7 linked regions of the Callithrix jacchus genome follow. The protein of the gene in region 2 purifies or fractionates together with the protein of the main gene of each other region. This does not show direct contact. Links are inferred from orthologs where the notes say so. Each region holds a gene or a part of one and is shown on either strand. Other genes may lie near its edges.

Region 1 (3,500 bases), on a different chromosome or scaffold from region 2:
AGAGCAAGCCGGGGAGAGGCCGCCCACCACATCCCACACCTCCTCACCACCAGGTGACTGAGCAGAGCTGGGGGCAAGCAGGGTACTGGGAGCAAAATGCCCTCCTACAAGAGCTGCCAGTCACTTGGATGGTGCCCTCCGGCCGGCCAGAGGCTACAGCTGCCTGCCTCACAGGGGACACCCCAGAGTGACGGGAGGTGTGGAGAAGGAAGCTCTCTGATGGGGTTCATGTGATCCAAACATGTCATGAGAAATACTGGGGTTGAACTTGGGGCGCCCCGAGGATGAGGTGGCACGTTACTCGTCACCTCGCAACTTGCCGACATATGAAGGGCACCTGGTCACTCTGTCAATAACTGACATGGTCCATCTTTTAAAGCCCAGAGGATGACCCTGAACCTCTGGAAGCCCCCCGAATACACAGATGGTTTTCCAGCAGAGAGAGGAAAGAGCCTCACCAGTAAGTGTGACAGCTCTGCCTCTCACGTGAAAAGCACCACCATCGACAAGCAGAAGATGACTAAAGGGGACCCACCTGGGTTCTCCTCTCTGTCTGGGAACTTAATTTGAACACTGAAATCCCGAGTAATCTGCTGGATTCTGGAACCTTTGGGGCCCATGACAGATCGATGGAATTTCTGGGGTATAGCACATTCTAATGTCACCTGAGCTTCCTGGAGGGAGGTACACAAAGAAAAGAAAGAGCAAAGGTTAAATCCCTCGGGGCCTGTACGAAGTCTCAGCACTTCCTTCCTGTCCACCACAGCCACTCGGTACAGACACTTCCGTTCTGAGGTGAGTCCAGGGCTCCAGGTGCAGGGAGGAGGGAAGGTACTAGGGCATGTCCAAGAGGGTGGGCGGCCTCATTTTTTTTTGTTTGGAGATGGAGTCTCCTTCTGTCGCCAGGCTGGAGTGCAGTGGTGCGATCTTGGCTCACTGCAACCTGCCTCTCCTGGGTTCAAGTGATTCTCCTGCCTCAGCCTCTCGAGTACCTGGGACTACAGGTGCACGCCATCATGCCCAACCAATTTTTGTATTTTTAGTAGAGACGGCGTTTTACCATGTTGGCCAGGGTAAGGGTGGGCCTCCTTCTGAAATGTGTCCCTGCAGGGTGGCCGATTCAGCCAAAAGAGTGGGAACTTCTGTGGTGGCCTCTGACTCTATGAGGAGGCATCAGACTTGATTATCAGAGAAAAGGCATCCAGGCCCTGGCAGGGGAGCAGCCCAGAGGGGCATGGAGGGGACACTCTCTAAAGGCTGCTTTAGAAAAGAAACACATCTTCTCGTGACTTCCCCATGGATTCACGTGGATGCCCTCAGTCGATTTTCTTTCCTTCACAGAGGGGACAAGAGAGCTGACCCCTTACACAGACTGCATTTCCATGTTTTCTGACCCCTTACACAGACCATTTTCTCTGTCTCTCTTTTTCCTCTTAGACCCCTCCCCGAACACCCGAATGCCTACCAGGTCCTCAATGATCTCCTGAATGCGCCTCTTGGCTGCCTCCACACAGTCCTTGGCGCCCTTGAGGGCGACTTTGTCGCTCTGTGTGCCAGAGCGTGGGAAGCTGACCATCACGCCACCGTACTCTTCAGCAATCTCCCGCAAGACCTGGCCTCTTCGGATGACGAAGTGGCGGTGGTGCCTGGGGTCCACCAGCATGTAGTCTTCCACCACATTATCCTGACAAGAGATGAAGATAAGCCACCCCATCCCAGCCCCAGCAGAGCCGGCAGCCGAGGCCCGCTCCCTACCAGGTTTTGGATCAAGGCCTCCAGCTCCTTCTGTGCCTCCCGGACGGCGTCCTCCTTTCCGATGATGGTGATCAGGTCCTGGTCCTTGTCCTCGGCCGCAGGGAAGATGACGCGTGCTCCAGTGCTGTCACGCACCTTGCGGATTTTGCCGCCCCCCTTGCCAATGAGGAATTTGTGGTACTCCGGCTTGGCGCGGATGTCAACAGTGAAACTCTTGGTTTGCTGCAGAAGGCAACCCCACTCTGTTAGTCAGACACCACATGCCTGGGCCACAGTGAGGAGACAAGAGGGCCTGGAGGACAGCAGTGCTGGGCCCCCTACACTGTCACCAGTGCCCTGATGTTGCAGCACCCCCAAAATGGGGCTGGCACGCCTCGCCGAATCCGACAGACAGACTGCACGCACACCTCTCTTCCACAACGATCAGATGCTGGTGCTGATGACCACACAGGCTTAGACCCTGGTCCTGCCACTTGGAAGCAGCACTGAGCAAGCTTCCCCAAGCCACTTTTCATCTGTAGGGGGCAGAGGGAGCAATGCACTGGGTGATGTGTGGGCAGAGTGGGGTGTGCCCAGAAGAGCAGGAACAAGCCACCCGAGAGCCTACACTATGCTCCTGCTCTTCTAACCACTTCTAGACCAAGCCCACACACCTGGACCAGGCTTCCTTTGCTCTCATGACTGCTACAGATCAGCCCCACAAAACCAGCCGCTCCCAGGCTCAAGCAAGCTCAACTCAGAGGGACGGAAGCCACCCAAGGCTACAGTTAGAGACCAGTCCTCAGAGGCCTCGGAGAGCATGACACCCTCGTGTGGCACCAAGAAACGAAGGGTCCTGAAAAGGCCCTGGACACTGTGACCTGTGGACACCACTGCCTCTGGCAACTTCTCCAGGGGACACAGTGCAACGCGCTGCTCTACGTGACTCAGATCCACCAGGGGAGCTCCTGCTGTTCTCCGGACCCAAGACCTGGCCCGCAAGCCAGAGCACCAAAGAAACACGTGCTGGCAGAAAAATATTAAATGACAACTTTGCTATATTTTAGGTGCAGGTTTCACCAAATACCACCCAAAGACTCTGCTGCTCTTCAGACACATCCACCAACAGCAGCATTAGTCAAAAACCAATCAAAAGGCAAATCCAATCTAGCAATACGGTAAAGGACAACCTACCAAACCCAGGGTTACCTCAGAAATGCAAGACTGGCCAAACCTAAAGACAGAAAGTCAGTCTAATGCAACCTAACAACAGAAAGACAGAAATACGAGGCTCCAGATCAGAGAGAAATCTAACTGTTCACAGACCACGTGACTGATCACGTAAGAATCCACAAAAGAGTGCCTAGCACTAAGACGTGGGCCTCATTGAGCAGTCTCACGGAGGTGGGCATACAACACTCACAACACTCCTCCACACACTAACAACCAGAAATGGGAAAAAGCGCCATTTGCAACAGCACGAAAAGGACAGTAGCAGAACATAAAAGTGTGCAGGATCTGTATGACAAAATGAAAACAATGAAGAATCACAGACCTGAAGAAAATGAAGACATGACTCAGAGTCAAAACTGCTGAGCTGTCAATCCTCAGCAGCCTCATCTTCAGATTCACCACAATCACAACCAAAACATGAAAATGTCGTTTTCCTACAAACGGACAGGCTGACTCAGCCAGGGATACAGAACAGCCAAAGTTAAGAGGGCTTGGGCCGGGCGCGGTGGCAGTGGCTCACACCTGTAATCCCA
Region 2 (4,259 bases):
TGCGCCCCAGCCTGGGCAACAAGTGAAACTTCGCCTCAGAACAACAACAACAACAAAAAGTAGACACAAAATTCAGAGATGGGGGTCTCAGTATGTTGGCCAGGCTGCTCTCCTGTCCTCAAGCAAACCTCCCACCTTGGACTACCAAAGGGTCAGGATTACAAGCATGAGCCGAGCCCAGACAAGGGTGGGAGAGAACCGTAGACACATGCTCTGACCGTGCCCTCACTTTACCTGGACAGTGTATTTGCACACACCCAGGGTATTCCATAGCTTGATGGTTTTATCTCGAGATCCAGAGACAATCTGCCGGTTGTCAGAGGAGAACGCCACACTCAGCACATCCTTGGTATGGCCCACAAATCGCCTCGTGGTGGTGCCCCTGAGAAGGAGGGCTTTGTCATTCTCAGACTTAGCAAACATTCTCATTCAACAGTCAGACTTATTTCCTATACTAGGTCTTGTCTCTATCTCATTGCATCATTCACACAACCCTGGACATGGCTCTGATCACAGCAAGCCCTTGACTGAGTATATGACAGAGAATCCCGTCAGAATTGCAGGACATGTCCTCACTCCCCCATAGGGATTGGCTGACAATGTCGTCTGTCATCACCAGGACCCTCTAATTCCCTCTGCCAATTAGCTGAGCTTTCAAGGCAAAACATGTTCAAACTGTTGTCTACTCAAAACTGTTGCACCTGGCAAAAACGTTCAACCAAACTCCTCAGAATGCTGAGTACTGAGTGAGCGAGGCCACCAAACATCTTTTGTAGGTGTGCTCTGCTTTCCAGTTCCCAAATGGACTGTATCTCCCCTGGGAAACCAGACAATTGCATCCACCTCATTTCTGCCCAGATTTTTCCCAATGCCCCAGAGCTAAGTGAGCAGCTACTTGCGTTGTGAGATCCCAGAGGCGCAGGGTTCCATCCCAGGAGCCTGAGAGGGCAAACTGGCCATCTGAGGAGATAACCACATCACTAACAAAGTGGGAGTGACCTCGCAGAGCACGCTGTGGAATTCCATAGTTGGTCTCATCCCTGGTCAGTTTCCACATGATGATGGTCTTGTCTAAAGGAGGTAAAACAGAGAAATCAGTGAGGAACCCGCAGCCCGTTTCTTAACACACTGGATATTTCACTAAGTGTCAAGGTCATCAGTGGGTTAACAACTAAGGACACTTAAGGAGGGATGAGAACAGCAGGCTACAAGACCAGTTACTAGGCCAGGATTGAGTGGCTCTATTCCAGAATAAAAACGCAGGTAGAGCTAAACTGTACCCCGATAACGTTTTTTTTTGGATGAAGTTTCACTGTTGTTGCCCAGGCTGGAGTGCAATGGCATGATCTCAGGATCCCAGCTTACTGCAACCTCCACCTCCTGGGTTGAAGCAATTCTCCTGCCTCAGCTTCCCTAGTAGCTGGGATTACAGGCACCCACCACATCCCGCTAACTTTTTGTATTTTTAGTAGAGACAGGGTTTCACTACGTTGGCCAGGTTGGTCTCAAACTCCTGACCTCAGGCAATCCACTCACCTCAGCCTCCCAAAGTGCTGGGATTACAGGTGTGAGCCACCTCACCCGGCTTTTTTTTTTTTTTTTTCCTGTGCCCAGGTCGGAGTCCAGTGATCTCGGCTCACCACAACCTCCACCTCCTGGGTTCAAGCGATTCTCCTGCCTCAGCCTCCGTAGCTGGGATCACAGGTGCCCGCCAGCATGTCCCACTATTTTTTTTTTTATTTTTAAACTATAGACAAGGTTGGCCAGGCTGGTCTTGAACTCCTGACCTCAAGTGATCCACCCGCCTCAGCCTGTATCCTGAAAACTTAATCCAGGTGCCAGAAATTATAGACACCCCTTTCCTGAGACGGGTCTTCTCTGCAACCGAACGCACAGCAGTCTGTGGCTGCTGAGTAGCTGGGGGCCTCCTATGCCTACCTCTGAGGGCCGACAGAAACGTAGTAACGAATGCTGGAAAAGTCTCTTTAAGCACTACAGGATTGGATGCTTTTACTGAAACCGGTTCCACTCAACAAATTTTACTATTAACAGACAAGCATGATTCAAGAGTCAGACAATTCTTAATAGTGTAGGAGCGAACGGAATGCTTAAGAAGCATCTAAATGCAGTCAGGCACATAGGGATGGGGACGGGGAGAACCACGGGAAAAAGGGTAGGCCGAGACTTGAGCCACGAAGTCTTCTGGAGTCCACCCGTCTCTCCAAGAGCCTTGGGCCGGGCGGTAGCTCAGAAACAGCCTCTGGATTTCAGCACCGATACTCAGATGGCATGTTGGAATCATCACCGCCCCGTCCAGCCCGTAGGCCCCCTGGCCACATTAGGAAAGGGAAGGCAAAAAATATTTTAAAAGTTCCCAACTCTCCAGCCCTCCTAGCAGCTACGAGCTGATCTACCTCTAGGTCCTCATCTGCGAAGTGATTCGCCCGGGCTGAGGCCAAGGCTCGGGTCTGCAACCCCCAACTCACAGTGGGGTAGAAAAGTCTGCCAGTCCCCGCCAAGTCGCGCGGCACTGGGCTGTCACGCGACACGCCGAATCCCCTAGCCCTGCAAGCTACCTTACTCCGTACCTCGAGAGGCGGATAGGATCATGTCCGGGAACTGAGGAGTAGTAGCAATCTGTGTTACCCAGCCGTTGTGGCCCTTGAGGGTGCCACGAAGAGTCATCTGCTCAGTCATGGCGGCGGAGAGCGCGTGTACCACTGCACCGACGAGGATGGCACTGGATGGTTCAGAGAAAACAGCACCACAGCTTCTCCCGCCGCCGCCTTGCGTGGAAGAGAGCGAGCCGACCCCCCTCCGGAACCGGAAATACCCGCACGACCAAACAAAATGGCGAGCCCTTTCCTACGCCTCTGTTCAAGATGGCGGCGCCCTGTATTGCAAAAGGCGAAGGGAAATTGCACCGCATCACAGTCCCCTCTTCCGTACAACATAATCTGGAAGCGCTGTACAAATACATTCTGAAACAAGCACACTTAAGTGTTTAAATCGGCTTCTCAAGGGTGCTGTAGAAAGTGAAGGGAAAGAGGTTATATGTACGGCACATTCCCATGAGGACCGCCTAGCGGCTTCCCCGCCCCTGTGTGGCATGCCCGAGCTCCGCCTGTTCCACTTGGTGCGCGGAAGGGGCGAACTCACCACGGGTGAGCTTAATTTTGAGTTCACTCTCTTGGGTAGCGATAGGCAATTTTAAAAGTATAGTATTAAAGTTTTAAAAATTAACTAAATAAACTTTAAAACTGTGCTCCCGCAAGGGCTGTTCTCCCAAGAAGTTTTTGTTCTGATGCACAGTAAGTCCTAGTCCACGCTGGACTAAGGCAGGAGAGGATTACTCTGGATGAAGTAAAAATTGGTCTGTTTGGGGCAGGCATGGTGGCTCATGCCGGTAATCATAGCCACTTTGGGAGGACGAGGAGGGTGGATCACTTGAGGTCAGAAGTTCGAGACTAGCCTGCTAACATGATGCAACCTCTTTACCAAACAAATAAATAAATAAATTAGCCAGGCGGGGTGGCATGCGCCTGTAATCCCAGCTATTTGGGAGGCTGAGGCAGGAAAATCCCTTGAACCTGGGAGGCAGAGGTTACGATCAGCCGCGATCGTGCCACTGTACTCCAGCCTAGGCATTTCATCTCAAATAAATACATACATATTAAAACAATAAAGTAAAAGTTGGCCTGTGTGTTGCTAGAGTGCCAATCTGTTCCTGCCTAGGCCAAAACGCGGGAACCTCTCACAGAAATGGAAATGCCCAAAGGAGGACCTTAAATTTCTGACTTCTGGGGATGCCTAGTGGAAAGCTCTTTCTGAGCCCAGCCACCACACCCAAAAGCCCAGGGGTCTGGGGGTTCAGGTGAGCCCTGAAAGATGTGCTGCCCCAGACAGGGAAGTGGTGGGACATGGGTACCTAGCTGTTCTTCTGCTTTCCGCTCAACTGCAGGAATGTAAATAAGTAATACCTTCCATTCTCACACATCTCTGACTATAAGAGACAGTATTGGCAGCGTGTCTATTCAAGTAGTTTCAAACAGGGGCACCGATCGGGATGATAGCAGCCACCAACACCTATGCAAAATAAAGGGGGCATTATACGTAAGTATATACCTTTTGAAATATCTATCGACTTCCATTTATCTGTGAAATGAGATTGGAAATAATATTAGTATCTACATTACATGGTTGCGTGGAAAATAAAGAAGCAAATGTAAAATGCCCTGAACAACGTCTGGCAGAGTAAA
Region 3 (3,500 bases), on a different chromosome or scaffold from region 2:
TAATGGCCTTTAGAAATCATTCTGAAACTGCCAAAATGAAGCCAGTATCAAAAAAATATTTTTCATATATTAAAATTAGAAATGTTCATTCTGATTTAAGATGTCTCTGACTGATATGACTACAACCAGCTACAGATGCTTATCTTTAATCACTGCAAATTTAATGGGATCAGCTAGATATTTTTATAGACTACACCACATGGTGCTGCTTCGGGAGTTTTATGACCTGGAATTACTAAGTTTTTCATATCAATAAAAGTCCATAAAGATGCTCTTTAGAAATATCTAAGTGTTTTAAAATAAAATTGAGTTTACTTTGAAATGCTTAGTTTAGCAGAATCACTTTTATGTTAAAAATCTGCAGATTCTGCTATTTGGGAATCAGAGTACCACTGTGTCTCTAACAAAGTACTAGGCTGAGCGACAGGAGAAGGAGCACAACACTTGGAACTGGTGCCGGCTGAAAAGCCAGCATCTTTGGAAAGCTCTAATTAACAAATTTATAATTAACGCATGTAAACTAAAGTAAAAAGATGAATCACTAAAAGCTACTTCCTCAGATTAAAAAAGACAAAGCTGCTTGAATAAATAGAGTCCTTAGATGTTCAATATTCTTTAAACAGCAATAAAAGACTTCCAAGGAGCTTCATGTTTCAACAATAGTGCCCATTTTACAAACTCTGAAATAGCAATAGGAGGGTGGCAATTAAAATAATTCCCAAGAAATGATGATCTTTAATACACTATTAAATTCAATAAGATCTGTGCATTCCTATTATCAAATCAATAAACACTGATATTTTCCACAATCAACTAATCCCAAAAGGAAAGTAAGAAGACATTTACCTCTTCTAAGCTAGGGAGCGAAGAAGAAGATACTGTTCGAGATGACAATGGGTGAAATGGCTCTTGACCAATAGCATGTTGATGATTCTGTATTTGTACAAAAGGGTTCTGCGGTGGCCTGTGAGGCAATGGAGGTAGGCCATAGGGAAAACCTGGCCCCATTAGGTGATTCTGTTGCAAGTTAGCAAAAGTCCACGCTCCATCAGGTGCCAGGTATTTCAAGGGAGGGGGGGCAAGGTGTTCAGATGGCAACGAGAAAGGCGAGCTGAATATCTGGGGAGGGAGGCGCTGTGGAAATGCTGGGTTGCTGGCTACTTCAATGTCTCTGCTGTTATCATTAAAGTTAGAAAAGTGGCTACTGTGGTCTGTACTGGATGGGGGAGACGGGACTGCTGGTGGGCTTCTAGTCTGTACTTGTCTATATTGCAAAAGTCTTGATTGAGGTGGTGGCATTTCAGCTAGTTCCCGTGTTTCACTTTGATCACGATGAGACAGTTCTCTGATTAAGTCTTGAAACCTACATGAAAACAAAATACGAGGAGAAAACAAAAGGCTCCATCACACTAAGGAAAGCTTAGTCAACTACATGTGTATTTTCAACAAACATCATAGTACACTAACAACTAGAACTGACATTAATTCATCTCAGATGTAAGCACTAACACTCAACAGATGCCGAGGTGAAGGCATTGAATATGCTCAATTACCTAATTTCTTTCTGGTTCCACCGCATTAAAAACATCTGTCCTTGTCTCTACATGTCTTTGACAGCTACAAGTTATAAAAGGTCACAATGATGGTTATTCAGAAGGGATCTGGAAACACTTCATAGCATTCATGTGACACTGGCCATAAAAACAAGCTTAGAGTCAGGACCGAATACTCAGATGTAACTGGAATTATGGGAAGGTAGAATTCTGTGCCACCAGAAAAATAATTAACAATTTTTAGCTTTTAACCACGAATTTACTCCTGTCTTTATTCATTCTCTGCAAGCATTACTACCAAATAAAAAAAACCCACTCACAGTGACAGTATGTTTCTCTTGCAGAAGAAAACACAAAGCAAGGGAACAAGTTAATTTACAACCCACAGTAGATCATCCATGCCTACATTTGTAAAAGAGTTACTTCTAAATGAGTTTTCTGTATTTTAGAGTCAATCAAGAGAACTTTGTAGCATATGCTGTAAGGCCAGCATCCAATTTCTCTGAGGCAATATTCCAACTTGAAGCTAAAAGGACTACATTCAAAAAAGAAAACAGTGAGGGGGTCACATTCCAGAAGCTATTTTTAGTCGGCTGGAATACCTTGAGTATGTGGTTTCCACTTCATCTTCGGCACTGCTGGTGACCTTCCAGTCTGCCCTCACTGGCGGCTGATGTAATCCCAGGGGGGGCTGAGGAAGATGCTGGAGGTGGGGATGGTGGTGGTGCGAGAATGGAACACTGCCCTGACTGAGGAAGGCATGGTGCTCACTCCACTGCTGTAACCGTGCCTGCTGCTGCCTTAATGTTTCCAGAGCCACACTCCCATGTATACGATCTGCAAAAATATTTGTGAATTTCTTTTTATGAATTTGGGGTTTCAAGTTATTTTTTAAAAGTTTTACAAACATACTTTCTCCACAAAGACAAAGCAATAGCTACAATTTGGTTTCGGTAGAAAGTAAATGTTTTCCAAATTTGCCAGAAATCAGAGTTACGGTGACAATTGATGACAACTCTTCCTCACTTACATAATGATGATGCTGACATCCACTGGATACTTACTGTCATACAGCATTTAGAACTAGATTCTGATTATCACACTAAATGGGGGGTTTTGTGCCAGCATTATTTGAAGAAATGATTCAATCCTAACCCAAACTGATATTGTACAGTCTATGTCATTTTAGTAAGTAAGCTCTGAATTTTCACAACTGGCCATAATTGGAGAACTTACCTAAAGCCTCCCCCAAAGGTAATCCTGGGGGATTCTCATCAATGAAGCTATTCAGATGCGAAGGAAGAATGGGGCCAGGCTGTGCAATGGCTTTCAGAGGACTGTGGCCTTCTTGCAGCATGGGAGGGGGCTGCTGCTCTGGAATCACAGCCTCTGCAGGAGGAGACTGTGGCCGATGAGCAACTGCATTATTAAAAAAAGCATTGCTGGGTCCTGCCTGATATGCAGGAGAAAGCTGAGGAGGCGGCTGCTGAGGCTGCTGATTCAACTGACTTTGCTGCTGGACTACCTGATTTGGCTGAGGTGGTATTTGATTTGGTTGTTCAGGCAAATTATTCTGCTGCTGATTTAACAAGGTGTGCTGCTGTGGAATTGGAAAGGGTGGTCTTGGTAGCTGCGGAAGGGGATGAAAATGGCGATTAGGGATTGCATACTGTGCATGGGGGGCAGGAAGAGGAAGATTTATGTGTCTTGGGTTGAGATTATCTTTGCGAGGAAATTTGGTACTGGGATAAACAACACTAGGACGTGATTCAGGACTTCTGTTCTGTGGATTTGATTCCAAATCAACCTAGAAAAAAAGAAGAAGCCTTTTTAAACTGCAGAAAATTTGAGTTCAGTAGCTCTCCACCTTTCCCCAACCCTACCGCATCTAAAGGATATGATACATTGATATCTTCTAGCAGGAAAGCTGGGCACTCAATCATATAC
Region 4 (3,500 bases), on a different chromosome or scaffold from region 2:
ATTTTTTTTTTTTCATTTGAGATGGAGTCTCTGTCACCCAGGCTGGAGTGCAGTGGAGCGATCTCAGCTCACTGCAACCTCTAGCTCCCAGATTCAAGTGATTCTCCTGCCTCAGCCTCCTGAGTAGCTGGGGTTACAGGCATGCACCACCACACCCAGTTAATTTTTGTATTTTTAGTTGAGACGGGGTTTCACCATGTCAGCCAGGCTGGTCTCGAACTCCTGACCTCCAGAAAGCCACCCCTCGGCCTCCCAAAGTGCTGGGATTACAGTAAGGTGAGAGCCACAGTGCCCAGCCAGGAATTCTTTAATCTGATAACCATACATTATCTGTTCCCTGCCTGTGGTCTGTGTATCTTCTCCCTGCCTGTGGCCTGTGGCTTGGTTTTTTAGTTTCCATTATGTGATATCTTTTGTTATATAGATGTTTTTAATGTTAGCATAGTTGAATTTATCACCTGTTTATGTCTTATGTATTTCATGTCTTCTATAAGAAGATACAGTGTCCAAGATCATAGAGATGGTCTTCTATATTTCCTTCATAAGCTTTAAGAAGTTTCGCTTTTCCTAATTAGATCTTTATCTAGAATGTGTTTTTGTATATTATATAAGGGATCTACTTTCATTTCATGTGGCTAGACTGTTGTCCCACAGCATTTATTAGCCACCAGCTTGTAATGCTCTGCTTCTCTCAAACCTGTCATTATAACTGAGTGTGAACCTGTCAAACTGGGGGCTGAGCAACCCTCAAGTCCTCAAAGCAGACCGTGAACAAAGGGCAGATTCTTTCACAATGTGACTATTGTGGAATGGAACCAACAGTACTGTGTATTCAAATGGCACCTCACTTATGGAAAAGAATACATTGGTCAGGCAGGTTGTTAACCTCCTGCTTTCTGGGTTGCAGTGAGTGCTGTCCTAGTCTGGAGGCAGTCCGCTTTATGGCACAACCAAACAGATGGTAAAATGAAATGTGGCAATATTTGCTGGCAACAAGCCATAATCTTAGTATGTTAACTTCGTCTTATTTTCTATGTTAAATGAGGAATGGCTCATTTATCTCTTTAGTTAGTTATTGTATTAGTTTTTAGAGTATGTTTGAAACCAGATTGTCATAAACCAGGGTTATAGAGCCAACCCCTAATATTTGGCAGTGAGAAGAACTTAGTGGTTTTCTAACAGTTTCAATACTTAAAGTTTTCTGTTGCCTGGGCACAGTAGCTCACGCCTGTAATCCCAGCTGGGAGGCCGGTGCAGGCAGATCACCTGAGCTCAGGAGTTCCAGACCAGCCTGCCTAACATGGTGAAACCCTGTCTCTACTAAAAATACAAAAAATTAACCAGGTGTGGTGGCATACACCTGTAATCTCAGCTACTCTGGAGGCTGAGGCAGGAGAATCTCTTGAACCCAGGAGGTAGAGGTTGTAGTGAGCAGAGATTAGGCCACTGCACCCCAGCCCAGGCAACAGAGCAAGACTCTGTCTCAAAAAAAAAAAAAAAAATGCTGTTGCCTGTCTTCATTTTCCTTTGTAGTTTTCACCTGGAATTTTGTACCTACCTTGGAATCACCTAGACCATCATTCCATAATCATTACATTGCTCTTAAATCAGGCAATAAAAATCTCTCTTATGTCGATATTAGCTTTAGTATGGTCTTTCTAATGATAATGATAATTTTTTACATGTATACTCTTTTTCCTTTAGCTCTATCAAACTTTAAAAGAGAATTTATTTGGCAAATTCATGTTCTAACTGTCCATAATATTTTTCTTGTTAAAATAAATTTGAAGAGAACCTAATTTAAAAGATTCTAAAAGATAAGAAAATGTTTTATTGCAATTTAATTGTATATTGTAGTATTTAAAGAAACTCACCTGAGATTTCTAAATTATATATGTGAGTTGTTTGTTTGGGTTAAATTTTTTTAACATTTCTTTTACTTTATTTCTGATTGATAGATACTTTAAAAGTCTGCCGAAAAGTTGATTGGAATATAAGTTTAATTGCAATGTTGGAAGTACTCAAATAATTATTAAAGTCATAGGAAATAATATGCAGATCCCAAACAGTGGATTCTTTAAAAGGACCCAAAGAGTTATATAAATACTATAAGAAGATAGCATATAAAGTTATTCTAGGAATCTCCAAAGAAAAGGCTCTAAAGAAATAGAAAACAAGGATAGATGGAATCCTTGGAGACCCAAAAGATACCACCTATAGGGCTGAGATTCTTTTTCTTTCTTCTTTTTTCTTTTTTTTTAGCCATGTCCTTGAGTTGCAGATTTTTTTAATTAATGCACAGGAGACAACAATAAACTAAATTGTAGATAAGATCAGATAAAGTAGCATAAATCTAATTAAACATTTCTAATCCTTAGTATTCTTGATAAACATAAGAGAGCATTGTCTCATATGTCTTGTCTCCCTTTCCTTCCGTCACCTCTTCCCCCACCCCAAATATTGGTTCTGTTATGATTTCTGCAAGGCAATTTACAGTTTGTTTCTGCTGAAAGCCATGTTCTTCCTCTATATAATACTGTAATTAGAGGTCTTAAAGAGAACTACAAGTTCTGTTCAAAACTCCATATGAACTTACTGTCATTGCCAGTGTGTCGCAGTCTCTGTTTACAGGAGTTTCAAAGTCACGTGTCTTTCAGAGCTGCCTTTCCTACAGATGCTTTCAGAGATCCTTATGTGCTAATGTGCATTGTGAGTATTCTCCAAGGGGAATAATAGTATGGTGTAGTGGTCGGAATTGATACAATTTTAGAAACATTAACGCTTTTTTAAAATGGAAGAAGCTATTTAGCTTTTTTCTTTAAGTCGTTTTTTTAGTGTTTGTCATTCAGATTTGAAGACTTGAAATAAAGAGCTTCCCCAAAGACTAGTTAACAGTTGATTCATTGACAAATGGGTAGAAAATCTAATTTTGAATTTTGTTTCATCTTTTTCAGATCTCAGTCATAGTGGATTGGCAGATCATTATGAAAATTCCCACTGGGGACAGCAGCCTACTTACAGAAGTGAAGCCAACTGCAGCTGGGATAAAGTGATAATAGATAGGACTGACAAGGAGGCGTGGCCTTCCATCACAGGAACAGAGACTGAATCTGCCTCAGAATGTACTACAGACACTGACTCTGCCTCCAACTGTGGCTCAGAGAACAGTAGCATGGCTACAGGGAGTGCCCAGGGCAACTTCACTGGACATACCAAGAAGACAAATGGCAATAATGGCACCAATGGCGCACTCGTCCAAAGCCCTTCTAATCAGAGTGCCCTTGGAGCAGGAGGAGCGAACAGTAATGGAAGTGCAGCCAGAGTGTGGGGTGTAGCCACAGGCTCCAGCTCTGGCCTGGCTCACTGCTCTATCAGTGGTGGGGATGGAAAAATGGACACCATGATTGGAGATGGGAGAAGTCAGAATTGCTGGGGTGCTTCCAACTCCAATGCTGGCATTAATCTTAACCTTAATCCTAATGCCAACCCAGCTGCCTGGC
Region 5 (3,500 bases), on a different chromosome or scaffold from region 2:
TTAGCCAGCCTGGTCTCAAACTCCTGAACTCGTGATTCACCTGCCTCGGCCTCTCAAAGTGCTGGGATTATAGGCGTGAGCTCGGCCTAGAATGCTATTTTTAAAAATTACACATTACTTCTGATTTCGCACAGGTAGTTCAGGCACAAGATAATAAATTCAAAAAGCACAAAAGGTGATATGGTGAAAAATATTTCTCCCTCCCATTCATATTCCCCCATCACCACTGTTCTGTTTTTTTGGGTAGGTATGCTATTTTATAGAAATATGCTGAAGAATAAATGTTATTTTTATAATAACTATTAATTTTAGAATCAATGTGCGTCAAATTAGTTTTTCAATGCTGCTACAGAATTTTATTCTGAGGTACTTTGTATTTTCATTAATGTCTCAGTTTCCATGATATTGCTGTATTATTATCTTAAAATATCTTTAGAAAGGAAGAAAGGTATTTTTAGAAATCTAAGATATTATATTTAGAATCAGTCCTGTTTTTAAAACATATTCAAACAAAACTCTAAATTCAGAGATAGATACTTTCTGTAACTTACATTTTCCATTCTTGCTGTATTCTTTCTCCCACATACTACTTCGTCATGTTTGGTGGTGATATCTTTTCCTTTTCCAATAAAGCCCTTTTTGGGAGTGGGAACCGGTTTTGCTAAAGGCATTAAAACAAGCCAGGTATATAAAAATAGCAAAGACTATATTGCTGCATTCAATGTTGTCTGAAAAGCCATTTGAATCTAAGAGTAAATTACCAAATGAGATTCAAAGAAAAATAGAAAACTAAAAGAGTTCATTGGAAAAATTAGTCTTCCTATACCTCTATTCTGCTGCCCCCAGAAAATAAAAGCTTTGGTACCTGGTCTGTAGGGATCATCACGAGTATCCTGCCAGTCAACCTCATCTTCAGAGCTATCGCTGTCTTCATAAGGATGCACTTTTCGATAATTTTCAAAGGAAATGGAAACTTAAAAAGCAAAAATAGTTGAAAATTTACTTAGGAGCACATTATGAGTGTTTTCTACACTCAATGGAGTTGTCACAATAAGGTTATAGTACCTTTGCTATCTCCATTGAATTTTTTTTCTTCACGCCTAAGCTGTGCGTCATATTCTCTGTCAAATTCCATCTGTAGCATCTGAGCCAGCATAAGGTCACTGGAAGTATCAATGTTTTCTCCAGTAATAAATGGTCCTTCAGCAACACTATTCAAAATAAGGCAATATATACTAATATAATGTGCTTAAGTTAACAGAGGTTGCCAATTATGAGAGTAAGAGCTGCCTTTTCCACGTTAAAATTGAACAATGGGAAAGAACTCTACCAAACCATCATCTTCTCCTGCACAGCTAGCCTTAAGACCAATGGCATGCACCTGTGGGAGTACCAACTTGGATTAAGAGAGCTGGGAGAGAAAGCTAAAGGTTCTATAATAAAATCCAAACTGAGATCTAGAATTCATTTGTTCTGAATGAAAGTCTGGATGTTTCATTTATCCATAATGAAAGAACAGATACATATTCATGAAAATATAAACTATAAACACTTGATTAAATCTGTACCTCATCTAGTTCAACTGTGGCATTAACATGAAATAACCAAAACCCACAGAAACAGTGGTTTGTCCAAGATAACAGTGAAAACCAATGCAGACTCTGGACCAAAATTCAAATATCAGTGGACTCTCAGCATGGTGCTTTCTTCTGTGCTGCTTTTTCCTAACCACTTGTCATGACAATTACTCATCAGATCCTAAAAGTTTGCTATAATAAGTTGCTACATAAAGTGTTTTGTGAATTTTACTTACGCAACTTCAGGAAAAACAGCAGCTTCTTCTTCTAACTGCAATTCTTTGGCCAGCTGTTCACTCATTACATCAGCCAAAGAACAAGATATTGTATTTTGAGGGATAGCCCACGGACACTATTAAAAGTGAAAAAAGAACAGCTCAATTAATCATAATGAAATATAGTACCTCTCATTTTACAAAGAAGGTTATCTTTGAGAATTAAACTATGTAGTTAAAAACCAAAAATGAACAATTAGCTCTTTGCAGAAATCGTCTCAAAAGGAAAAATATCTCCCAGGTCAAATTTATTCAAGGATAAATATAAACTAAAACATCCCAAAGCACTTTCTAGCCTGCTAAGAGGGTATATCCTTAAAGCTGAGGGGAAGCATCATGTTTTTATAGCATCCCCCCAGCAGCCAATACGTTAATGTAATTCCTCTTGTTCCAATTCCTTGCTCACCAAGCTACTTTCTGTTTATAATCTGATTTCCCAAGTAGATTGTCTTACAGGAGTAGACTATACCAACTAGCACGATTTGAAGCCTAATGAAAAGTTATATCTCATTTTAATGCTGAGCCATCGAAGTATACAAATTATGTCAGCCCTTCTCAAGACATCTTAGAATGTGCTAAAAACAAAAACAGGCCAGGCGTGGTGGCTCAGGCCTGTAATCCTAGCATTTCGGGAGGCCAACACAGGCAGATCACTGAGGTCAGGAGTTCTAGATCAGCCTGGCCAACATGGTGAAACCCCATATCTACCAAAAATACAAAAAAATTAGCTGGGTGTGGTGGTGCGTGCCTGTAGTCCCAGTTACTCAGGAGACTGAGGCATGAGAATCACCCTAGCAGGTTAAGGTTGCAGTGAGCCAAGATTACGCCACTGCACTCCAGCCTGGGTGACAGAGTGAGACCCCCTGCCATACATATACACACAAAAAGCAAGAACAATCAACAAAAATTTTAGTTTTTATTTTATCTCTTTCCTTTTTTTTGGAGACAGAGTCTCCTCTGTCACCCAGGCTGAAGTGCTGTGGTGTGATCTTGGCTCACTGCAACCTCCATCTTCCCAGGTTTAAGCAAATCTCCTGCCTTAGCCTCCTGAGTAGTTGGGATTACAGGTGTGAGCTACCATGTCCACTAATTTTTGTATTTTTAGTACAGATAGGGTTTTGCCATGTTGTCCAGGCTGGTATCGAATTCCTAACCTCAGGTGATCTGCCTGCCTCAGCCTTCCAAAATCCTGGGATTACAGGTGTGAGCCACCATACCCAGCCCTAAAATTTTATTTCTGAACTTTAGAAGCTGAGAAACAGGCTCTTAAAACAATACCAACACAGCACAGTAATATTCTCTCAGATCCAGCTGGCCTTCCTCAGTGACATACCACTGCCTCAGCTTTCTTGAAATCAAACTGTAGGTTTATTTCAAATTCATAATTTTTGAGGGAGCAAGATGCTTTCCCCAGCAGCAGCAAATGATTATATTTTATAGCCTAGTGATTAAGACCTTTAATATTAAGATGTCTAAGCATCTCCTGAACTTGCCCAGTTCTTTCCATCCCTCTTCCATAATTCTACTCCAAGGTATCCCATTCACTGGGTTACTTTCAGCGCATCCTAACGAATCCTTCTGCTCTCAATCTTGCTAGTGTCCATTCTCCACACCATAACACAATTGTTCTAAAATGCAGATGTGATTA
Region 6 (3,500 bases), on a different chromosome or scaffold from region 2:
GATGTGAATGTGACTGGAGGAGAGCTGTTCTCGAAACAGCAGGAGTCCTGGGAGGCTTCCTCGAGGAAGCAGCAACTGCACTTGGATGGGCAGGAGAGTGAGGGGTTAAGTAGGGAAGAGCCCTCTAGGCAGGCCACAGCCAAAGCAAAGGTTCTGAGAAAAGAAGAGCTGCAGGACTGGAGAAGCAGAGGCCAGGGAGAGGGGAGGAAGGGTAGCACCAGCGGAGGCAGAAAGGCAGTCGGGATTAGACCGTGCAGGGGCGGCAGGAGTCTTTAATCCAAGATTCCAAGACAGCCCCTGGAGGGTTCTGATCTGAGGGAATGGGATTCAGAACGAAGCACACAGTGGTGACTTAAGGGACAGAGAGTGGTGGATGATTGGGAGGAAGTCAGGAGGCCCAGCTGAGAGGAAGAGGCGGCTGGGGGTGTGGAGTAGACCAACACCTGCACACAGAGGCCAAGCGTGCCACAGACACATGGGCCCACGGGCACCCACAGGCCCCTGACACTCGGTCAGCTCCAGACGCCCAGGTGGGTGGGTCAAAGCACGGCAGTGCCCACACCCAAGCCCTCACCCGCATGCAAGCCCCACGAGCTCCCTCTGCCGCTCTCTCGCTCTTTGTACAATTGATCTGGGCACCCCCTCCTCCTCTCCCAGCAGCCAGTTCAGACCGGTCCTGGGCTACAGAGACAAACGACACTAGCCTCTGTCCCCTCCCTTCCCGCTCTCTGGGGCTCCTCTGGGCAACCCCCTTCCCACCAGCCAGCTGCAGAAAAAGACAGGGAGTGGGATGGCGCGTGGAGCCAGGAGAGAGGGGAACAAGGAGGAGGGGACAGAGAGGAGGGGGGCAGGGTGGAGGGGGGCAGTGGGGAAAGGAGAGAAAGAGGAAAGGAGAGAAAAGGAGGAGGGAGGAAGGGAAGGGGGAGGAAAAAGTAGGGAGGGGAGCAGGAAACCAGGCCTTTTAGGCTAACAGAAGAGCGGCCTTCCAGGCTCCAAGGCCCCTCCCTGGGGTCTGCAGCTGAGGTCCTGCCTGGCCGCCCTCCCTCCGAGGCCGAGGCCGCTGCGCTCACTGGAGTAGTAGGCCACCAGCTGCTGCAGACTGTTGAACTGGGTGCGGGAGGTAATATAGAAGCCGCCGCTGTCCAGCTTGCGGATCTTGTAGTGCTTCACGTTGAGGCCCTTGGCGTTGTCGAAGTCGGACACTGAGAGGCAGTAGGCACCTGCAGGCAGGGAGAGGAGCCGTGACCACCACGCCCTCTCCCCCACAGGGCACCATTCTGTGCCTGAGTCCAGAGGGAAGGGAGGCCCAGGCAGTTGAGCCCCCAGCCCTCCCTGTCTCTCAGCAGCCCGACCCAGGGCAGCCACAGAGGTAGGACCAAGAGACCCAAGGGGTACTTGACCGGAACATCCTGCACGCCCCCTTAGCCCCGGCAAGACCTCAAATCCCAGTGCACATCTAGCTGTGGGACTTAGAGGGGTGGCCAGTCCTCTCTGGGCTCAGTTTCCCCTCTGCACAACGTGAGTGCTCCCAGGGTGGCTGGGAAGATTCAGTGCATCCACATATTAAAGGGCCTGGTACTCAGCAGGCACTCAGTAACTCTTTGCTGGGAGCCTGTGAGTGGCTCCCCGTGGCTGTGTGCCCTGGCCTAACTGCTTTCCCTCTCTGGGTGGGCCCACAGGGTCACTGTCCATGCTCCCCCCACTTTCTGAACGCAGGCCAAGGTTCAGGCGAGAGGGGGTGGTTGCAGAGGCTTTGGCCATGGTGGGCAAGAGACCACGGGCTGGGCATGGCCTGAGGCCTGCCTGAGTCAATTGGGGCCAGCTCTGGTGCCTCCCCTCTTTCCCTTGAGCCTAGAAAAGCTTTTGGCCCAAAAGTTTCCTCCCATCCAGCAGGCCTGGGTAGAACGAGAGGCCAAGAGACGCCCGAGAGGCATCAGGGAACAAGGCTGAGCCCTGGAAGTGGGGCGGAGGCTCCAGCGGCCAGGGACGGGCCTTCTCGGGAGCCTCTCCAGGAGGTATACAGGCATGGGAGAAAGACCAGCTGTCGCAGCCCATGGACCTCCCTCTCTGCAATCTTCAGGCAAAGGTTACAATCGCAGTGTACAGAAGAAATGAGGTCCAGAGAGGGACAGTGGCTAGCCTGGGGTCCCCCAGCAAGCCAGATACAGGGCTGGGGCTCAAACCCACACCTGAGGACCAAAGCCTGCCTTGGACAACTGTGACTTTCTACCGATGGCCAGGCTAGTGCATGTAGACACCACAGGCCTGAGGATGAAGCCACCCCTGGCCACATGTGCACACACGAACAGGCATGGCCGGGCACAGCAACCACAGGCTCACACAGATACACGCTCCCCAGGCCCTCAGGCACCAGACAAACCACAACAGTCCATTCCCACACGGCAACACACAGACAATTCTGCCCCACATCCACACACACACACACACACACACACACACACCCAGATGTACACACAGCATGCACACACACAGCCCCACAACCGCTTGTAAATGCACGGCTCAGCTCGACATGGATGCTCTGCTCCCCACCTCCCGCTGAGCCCCAGGCCCACAGGAAGCAGCTCAGCCTGGTTGCCATGGTGACAGGCGCCTGCAACCCACTTTCAGAGGGGCTGGAGAGAAAGGGGCTGGTCTTCATTCTCTGGCTTGAGGGAGGGACAGGAGAGGGGCAGGGACCAGGACTGTGGTGAGGGGTAGGGCAAAGCCAGGCCCCAGCACCCAGTGTGGGCCCCAGTGACCCCGGGGAAGGAGAAGAAGGGGGGCTCATTGCAGCAGCACCTACCCTGAGAACGAGCCTGCTGTCGTGTGACACTCAGATCTCCAGACAACCTATGCTCAGCTTTCATCTGAGGATACTGAGGCCAGAGAGCTAAGCCTCATCTTTCTCTGGCCATCTGGCCATCGTGGGTTACTTGGCGTTCCTCAGAGGCACCTCCCTGACTTTGATTACCTCCTTCTGGAAGGCCCCTCTCTCCCTACTCCTCAAGCCCAACTCCTGCTCATTCTGCAACACCTAGCCCAAACCACTCACAGAAAACTCAGTGTCCACTGGCCAGCAGGAGCATGCATACCTTTCGTGGTCTCACTTTCCCGCACTAGGAATGTCCCCCTCGGGTTCTCCGCGTTGAGCAGTAGCCGCTCTGACTCCCGCCTGGTGATCTTGCCAAAATACCACCTAGGGGTGGGAAGACAGAGGATGGTGTTGGTGGTCCAGGCTTCTGCCACTCACAACACCTCTCCTCAGATACGTCTGGGGCGCTGGGCAGCCCAGGAGAGGCGCTCTGCATGGGCAGCACCCAGGACGACGGGCAGAGGCAGCCAGAGACGGTACTTACTCTTCAGCCTGGATGGAGTCGGAGGGTGCCACGTAGTTGCTGGGGATGTAGCCTGTCTGTCCCGTGCTGAGCGAGTGGGCCAGCCACCAGTCTCCCTCTCTGAGCAGGGACAAAAGGAGGAAAGAAAGGAGAAGGGAGCCATCA
Region 7 (4,086 bases), on a different chromosome or scaffold from region 2:
AAAATGCACATAAGTAAAAGGTATTGAACACAACTGCAGAGGACCCACAGATCTCAGATTAACCCTGGTAAAGATGATCCATAAGCAAGCTGGTTTAGTAAAACCGCTCTTAACCTCCTTTGTGACACAGAACTCTTTAGTAGTCCAATTAATCTATGGATCTCTTCTCAGAGTTTTTTTAAATTTCTAAAATATAGAGAATCACAAAGTAAGCAAATTATATTGAAACACAGTTGCCAAAATATTTTAAAATGTCTAATATAGCAATATAGTAAATATTATTTTTACATACAGCAAGTACCGAGCATGAATATTTCAAGATATCTGCAAAAACTATAATATATGAAAAAAAGTGATTTATCCTGGTGACAATGTCACAGACACTGTTGCTGCCATTGACATTTAAAGAATTTTCACTTTGTTTCCATTTAGGTTTCAGTTAGCAGTTAGTGAAAATAGGCAAATATTTTCCTCAACCAACCTCAGGTACTTCCTCAATTCTATCCAAAAACCTAGATTAAGAACCTTTGACTTACAGGAAAATGCAAAAATAATTTTGGAGCCAGAAATTTATGTACTAGAAGCCAGACTTCAGACTTTAGTCCCTACATTATTTACACTTGAATGACCTTAGACATCTAATTTCTGAGCTTTGGTTCTCTCACTGAGAACAATTCCTCTATCATGAGGTTATAGAGATCAAATAATAGTTAACACAACACCAAATGACCAACATGTTGTTTTTGACTGATACCACATATTCAGCCCCAAATATTTAAAGACAGTTAATTTTCAATAAAACTCATATAAGAATGACATAATGATTCACAAAGAAAATGAGATACAACTTTAAATAATAGTTTGGCAAGACATATGGTATAGTTTGTCTAAACTGGGGAGTTGAACAGGCCTGAATTGCTAACAGCCTGTCCATGATTTGACATCAGCATGGCCTGGATCCAAATCCCAGTTACACTACTTTACTTTTACTAAGTAAAGTTACTTTAACCTCTGGGCCTTAGTTTTGTCATCTGTAAAACATTGTAAATATTGTTTTAGAGACAGGACAGGCCCTAGCGTAAATAACAAATGGAGGCTATTAAAACCTACATTTTAGTAAAGCCAAAGGAATCAATTTGTAAGTCAAAAGTTTGTCGTGGAATTCCTGTCTGTATAAACTTCACAATCTTTTGTCTGCCCAGCAAAACGCATACACAAATACCTGTGGTATCTGCATAGCATAACAGTCCTAAAACAAACTGGCTGGCATGGCTAAAAATCTTATCTGATTTCTTATTCTGCCTAAGGAAAACAACAATGAGGACAAAAAACAGTAAACAGAATGAGTTTTAGTAATTTTAAATCTTTTCATGATTTCCCTAGAATGTTCCAATGAATGTTATGTTAGATATACTCTAAGGTAGTAGTCTTTTTAAAAACTAATTTAAATTTCTCAAACTTATCGGCGACACAAAGTTAAAGAAAAAAAAACCGTAAAATCATTTACTTAACTTTACGTTGAAATATTACGAAGTAAGATTTTCCCACAACCCGGAAAAAAAAAAAGTCTGCCATAAGCTGACCCCGGCTCCTAGATCCATTATACAACCTGTAAATTTCTTCCCTCATTGAAATGATTCTTTTTATGGGCATAGTTAACTAATGCCAAGCTGCGAAGTTGCAGCTTTGCTGGTTTTACGTTTTCACAATGTAAGAACAATATGATCTGGAATCTACTCAAAGCATTAGCCAGGCAGTCAGCTGACGCTCACTGCACACAAGAGAACAGAATTAAGGAAAATTAAATTTCGTATTTCTGTAAGGCAGGTATCCAACTCTATCTTGAAAACTAAAATAGGCCGACAGCAGACGTTCTAGTTAAAGTAATAAAAGTATCTCGTGGTTCAAATAACATTACAAAAACGGCTTTTCCCGGAAGAAATTTCTCTCATTCTTGCAATTTTCCCTGTAAAGGGCTTTTAATCGGCTCATAGAACCAACCCCTCATCACGCAGCTGCTTCTTGAGTAACTTTTACAAAAGGTCAAAGCGGTGCCTTTCAAGTCTTCTATTGGCTTTTCCTCGACTCAAAGTAACTCGCTTTCACCCATAGAATGTTCCAGAGACCTAGGGACCTGGCCCGGACAGAATTTGGTGGAGGTGGCTCAAAGGAAGTTTTCAATTTTATTTCCAAAACACTTACCGCATTTCACCTTCCTCCCTCCGCGTCCCCACATGTTGCTCGCCTCCCTCCCAGAGGGCCCCGCGAAGCCGCACTCGGCCCCCGGAACGTGCCCACCTGATTACCCTCTCCTCCCTCAGACTCCGCCCCCAACCCCCTGTGCTGCCTCCTTTAGGAGATCCATATGGGACACTCTCCCCTTCCTCTGATCCTCACGCCACACCAGACCAGCCCTCCGTTCTTCTCCTTCAATTCTCCTCCACGACGGGCCTCACCTCCCACAGCTTCCTAGAGTGTGGTGAGCGCGCAGAGGGGAGCTGCAGGCCTGCTCGGCCCAGGTGCTGTGTCAGCCTGTCTGCCGGTTCCGCGGCGTGTACGGCCCGCAAAGTCACATGGCGGTGGGACCGGCCGGCGCCTCCACACTCCTGCTCTCCTAAGGGCAGGACGAGACTAGCAAACCCACTCACCTCCACGAAAAGCAACATGTCGTCCTCCGCTCGGCCCAATCGTTCCCGCCGCCGCAACTCCAACTGGCTCACAGGCCCGCGCCCCAATTGCTAGGATAAGGACACACACTCGCCTTGCCCCTCCACCCGGCAGTGGACCCGGCTCCTCCCCCGCCGTCAGCCGCTGCGGCCCGACCCGCCCAGTTTCACCGCCCTTAAAACAACAACTGCTTCCGGGTCTAGGGAAAAATTGTTTCCGGGAGAAAAGAGATCTCTCGGCGCGCTCAACTTTTGCACTATCTTTTCCAGCAGCAGTGTGGGAGGTACTATCATCTGTCCGCGGTGGGGGACGATTAGAAGGAGACGCCATTCTGTGGCACGGAGATGTGTAAAAATCTTAATGATATATTTTATCACTTGCCAGATAGCTACACAGCACTCATAATTCCGCAGTTTTCATAGTTCAAAATCTAGATTTGATTTTAAAAATACGACTTTGTCAAAGTGCACTGAACAGAAAAAAAGTAGACAAGAAAAAAAAAAACTATGAGAGTAGTTAATATATTATTAGCCTCTACCGTACTGCTGTATATTAAATGCTTACATTGCGTTTGGCACTATACTAAGCATTTTATGTTAATTAATCTTAAAACAATTTTATGCAATAAATACTACTATTATCATTCCCATTTCACAGTTGAAGGAGCCCTCTAGGAGGTTGGGTTTCCCTTAAGCACACCTTCTTTTTTTAAACTTTTCTTAAAGACAGTGTTTCACCATGTTGCCCAGGATGGTCTCGATCTCCTGACCTAGTGATCTGCCCACCTAGGCCTCCCAAAGTGCTGAGATTATAGGCGTGAGCCACCCCACCTGGCTCCCTTAAACACACCTTTAAAGAACTTTGCCCCGGGCTTACTTGAATTAGTTACCCATATCTCTGCTTAATATACTCCCAATAGACCCAGCAACATGGCTGGTGCCTGTAATCCCGGTACTTTGGAAGACCGAGGCGGGTGGATCACGAGGTCAGGAGTTCAAAACCAGCCTGGCCAAGATGATGAAACCCCTGTCTCTACTGAAAATACAAAAATTAGCTGGGCATGGTGGCGGAGGCTGAGGCAGAGAATTGCTTGAACCCGGTAGGCGGAGGTTGCAGTGAGCAGAGATGGAGCCACTGCACTCCAGCCTCGGTGACAGAGCAAGACTCTGCCTCCAAAAAAAAAAAAATATATATATATATATATGCTACTAGTGATAACACTTAGTCTGAATAGCCTCTTCATTAATGTTCTGCCATTAATTCAAATGAAATACAATAAAGACAAAATTAATTTTTAAAATTATAATTTTTTCTTTTTTTATAAAGACGGGGTTTCACTATGTTGGTCAGGCTGGTCTTGAACTCCCGATCTCAGGTGATCTGCCCACCTTGGCCTCCAAAGTGCTTGGATTACAGGCG

Evidence for each region.
Region 1: the proteins of RACK1 (region 2) and HDLBP purify together in Homo sapiens (affinity purification with mass spectrometry; 3 studies listed by BioGRID and IntAct, with this or other methods). This does not show direct contact. The link is inferred for Callithrix jacchus from reciprocal best matches to the Homo sapiens genes RACK1 and HDLBP.
Region 3: the proteins of RACK1 (region 2) and HELZ purify together in Homo sapiens (affinity purification with mass spectrometry; 3 studies listed by BioGRID and IntAct, counting the BioPlex papers as one, with this or other methods). This does not show direct contact. The link is inferred for Callithrix jacchus from reciprocal best matches to the Homo sapiens genes RACK1 and HELZ.
Region 4: the proteins of RACK1 (region 2) and TNRC6C purify together in Homo sapiens (affinity purification with mass spectrometry; 3 studies listed by BioGRID and IntAct, counting the BioPlex papers as one, with this or other methods). This does not show direct contact. The link is inferred for Callithrix jacchus from reciprocal best matches to the Homo sapiens genes RACK1 and TNRC6C.
Region 5: the proteins of RACK1 (region 2) and RIOK3 purify together in Homo sapiens (affinity purification with mass spectrometry; 3 studies listed by BioGRID and IntAct, counting the BioPlex papers as one, with this or other methods). This does not show direct contact. The link is inferred for Callithrix jacchus from reciprocal best matches to the Homo sapiens genes RACK1 and RIOK3.
Region 6: the proteins of RACK1 (region 2) and SRC purify together in Homo sapiens (affinity purification with western blotting; 4 studies listed by BioGRID, with this or other methods). This does not show direct contact. The link is inferred for Callithrix jacchus from reciprocal best matches to the Homo sapiens genes RACK1 and SRC.
Region 7: the proteins of RACK1 (region 2) and LARP4 purify together in Homo sapiens (affinity purification with mass spectrometry; 3 studies listed by BioGRID and IntAct, counting the BioPlex papers as one, with this or other methods). This does not show direct contact. The link is inferred for Callithrix jacchus from reciprocal best matches to the Homo sapiens genes RACK1 and LARP4.

What each region holds. Positions count from the first base shown.
Region 1 is NC_133507.1:162,508,499-162,511,998, forward strand, and holds part of HDLBP (vigilin), read right to left. Parts: intron 1,978-3,500; coding exon 1,756-1,977; intron 1,685-1,755; coding exon 1,466-1,684; intron 675-1,465; coding exon 536-674; intron 1-535. UniProt on the Homo sapiens protein: Appears to play a role in cell sterol metabolism. It may function to protect cells from over-accumulation of cholesterol.
Region 2 is NC_133503.1:73,608,094-73,612,352, reverse strand, and holds the start of RACK1 (small ribosomal subunit protein RACK1), read right to left. Parts: upstream 2,801-4,259; 5' UTR 2,698-2,800; coding exon 2,589-2,697; intron 2,312-2,588; exon of another isoform or gene 2,244-2,311; intron 1,072-2,243; coding exon 900-1,071; intron 624-899; exon of another isoform or gene 545-623; intron 383-544; coding exon 235-382; intron 1-234. UniProt on the Homo sapiens protein: Scaffolding protein involved in the recruitment, assembly and/or regulation of a variety of signaling molecules. Interacts with a wide variety of proteins and plays a role in many cellular processes.
Region 3 is NC_133506.1:122,191,352-122,194,851, reverse strand, and holds part of HELZ (putative helicase with zinc finger domain), read right to left. Parts: intron 3,361-3,500; coding exon 2,790-3,360; intron 2,391-2,789; coding exon 2,156-2,390; intron 1,364-2,155; coding exon 847-1,363; intron 1-846. UniProt on the Homo sapiens protein: May act as a helicase that plays a role in RNA metabolism in multiple tissues and organs within the developing embryo.
Region 4 is NC_133506.1:133,834,958-133,838,457, forward strand, and holds part of TNRC6C (trinucleotide repeat-containing gene 6C protein), read left to right. Parts: intron 1-2,954; coding exon 2,955-3,500. UniProt on the Homo sapiens protein: Plays a role in RNA-mediated gene silencing by micro-RNAs (miRNAs). Required for miRNA-dependent translational repression of complementary mRNAs by argonaute family proteins.
Region 5 is NC_133514.1:66,559,388-66,562,887, reverse strand, and holds part of RIOK3 (serine/threonine-protein kinase RIO3), read right to left. Parts: intron 1,930-3,500; coding exon 1,814-1,929; intron 1,212-1,813; coding exon 1,066-1,211; intron 974-1,065; coding exon 866-973; intron 662-865; coding exon 552-661; intron 1-551.
Region 6 is NC_133506.1:32,832,217-32,835,716, reverse strand, and holds part of SRC (proto-oncogene tyrosine-protein kinase Src), read right to left. Parts: intron 3,456-3,500; coding exon 3,357-3,455; intron 3,197-3,356; coding exon 3,093-3,196; intron 1,221-3,092; coding exon 1,071-1,220; intron 1-1,070. UniProt on the Homo sapiens protein: Non-receptor protein tyrosine kinase which is activated following engagement of many different classes of cellular receptors including immune response receptors, integrins and other adhesion receptors, receptor protein tyrosine kinases, G protein-coupled receptors as well as cytokine receptors.
Region 7 is NC_133510.1:69,174,757-69,178,842, forward strand, and holds the start of LARP4 (la-related protein 4), read right to left. Parts: upstream 2,801-4,086; 5' UTR 2,667-2,800; coding exon 2,457-2,666; intron 2,279-2,456; exon of another isoform or gene 2,203-2,278; intron 1-2,202. UniProt on the Homo sapiens protein: RNA binding protein that binds to the poly-A tract of mRNA molecules. Associates with the 40S ribosomal subunit and with polysomes. Plays a role in the regulation of mRNA translation.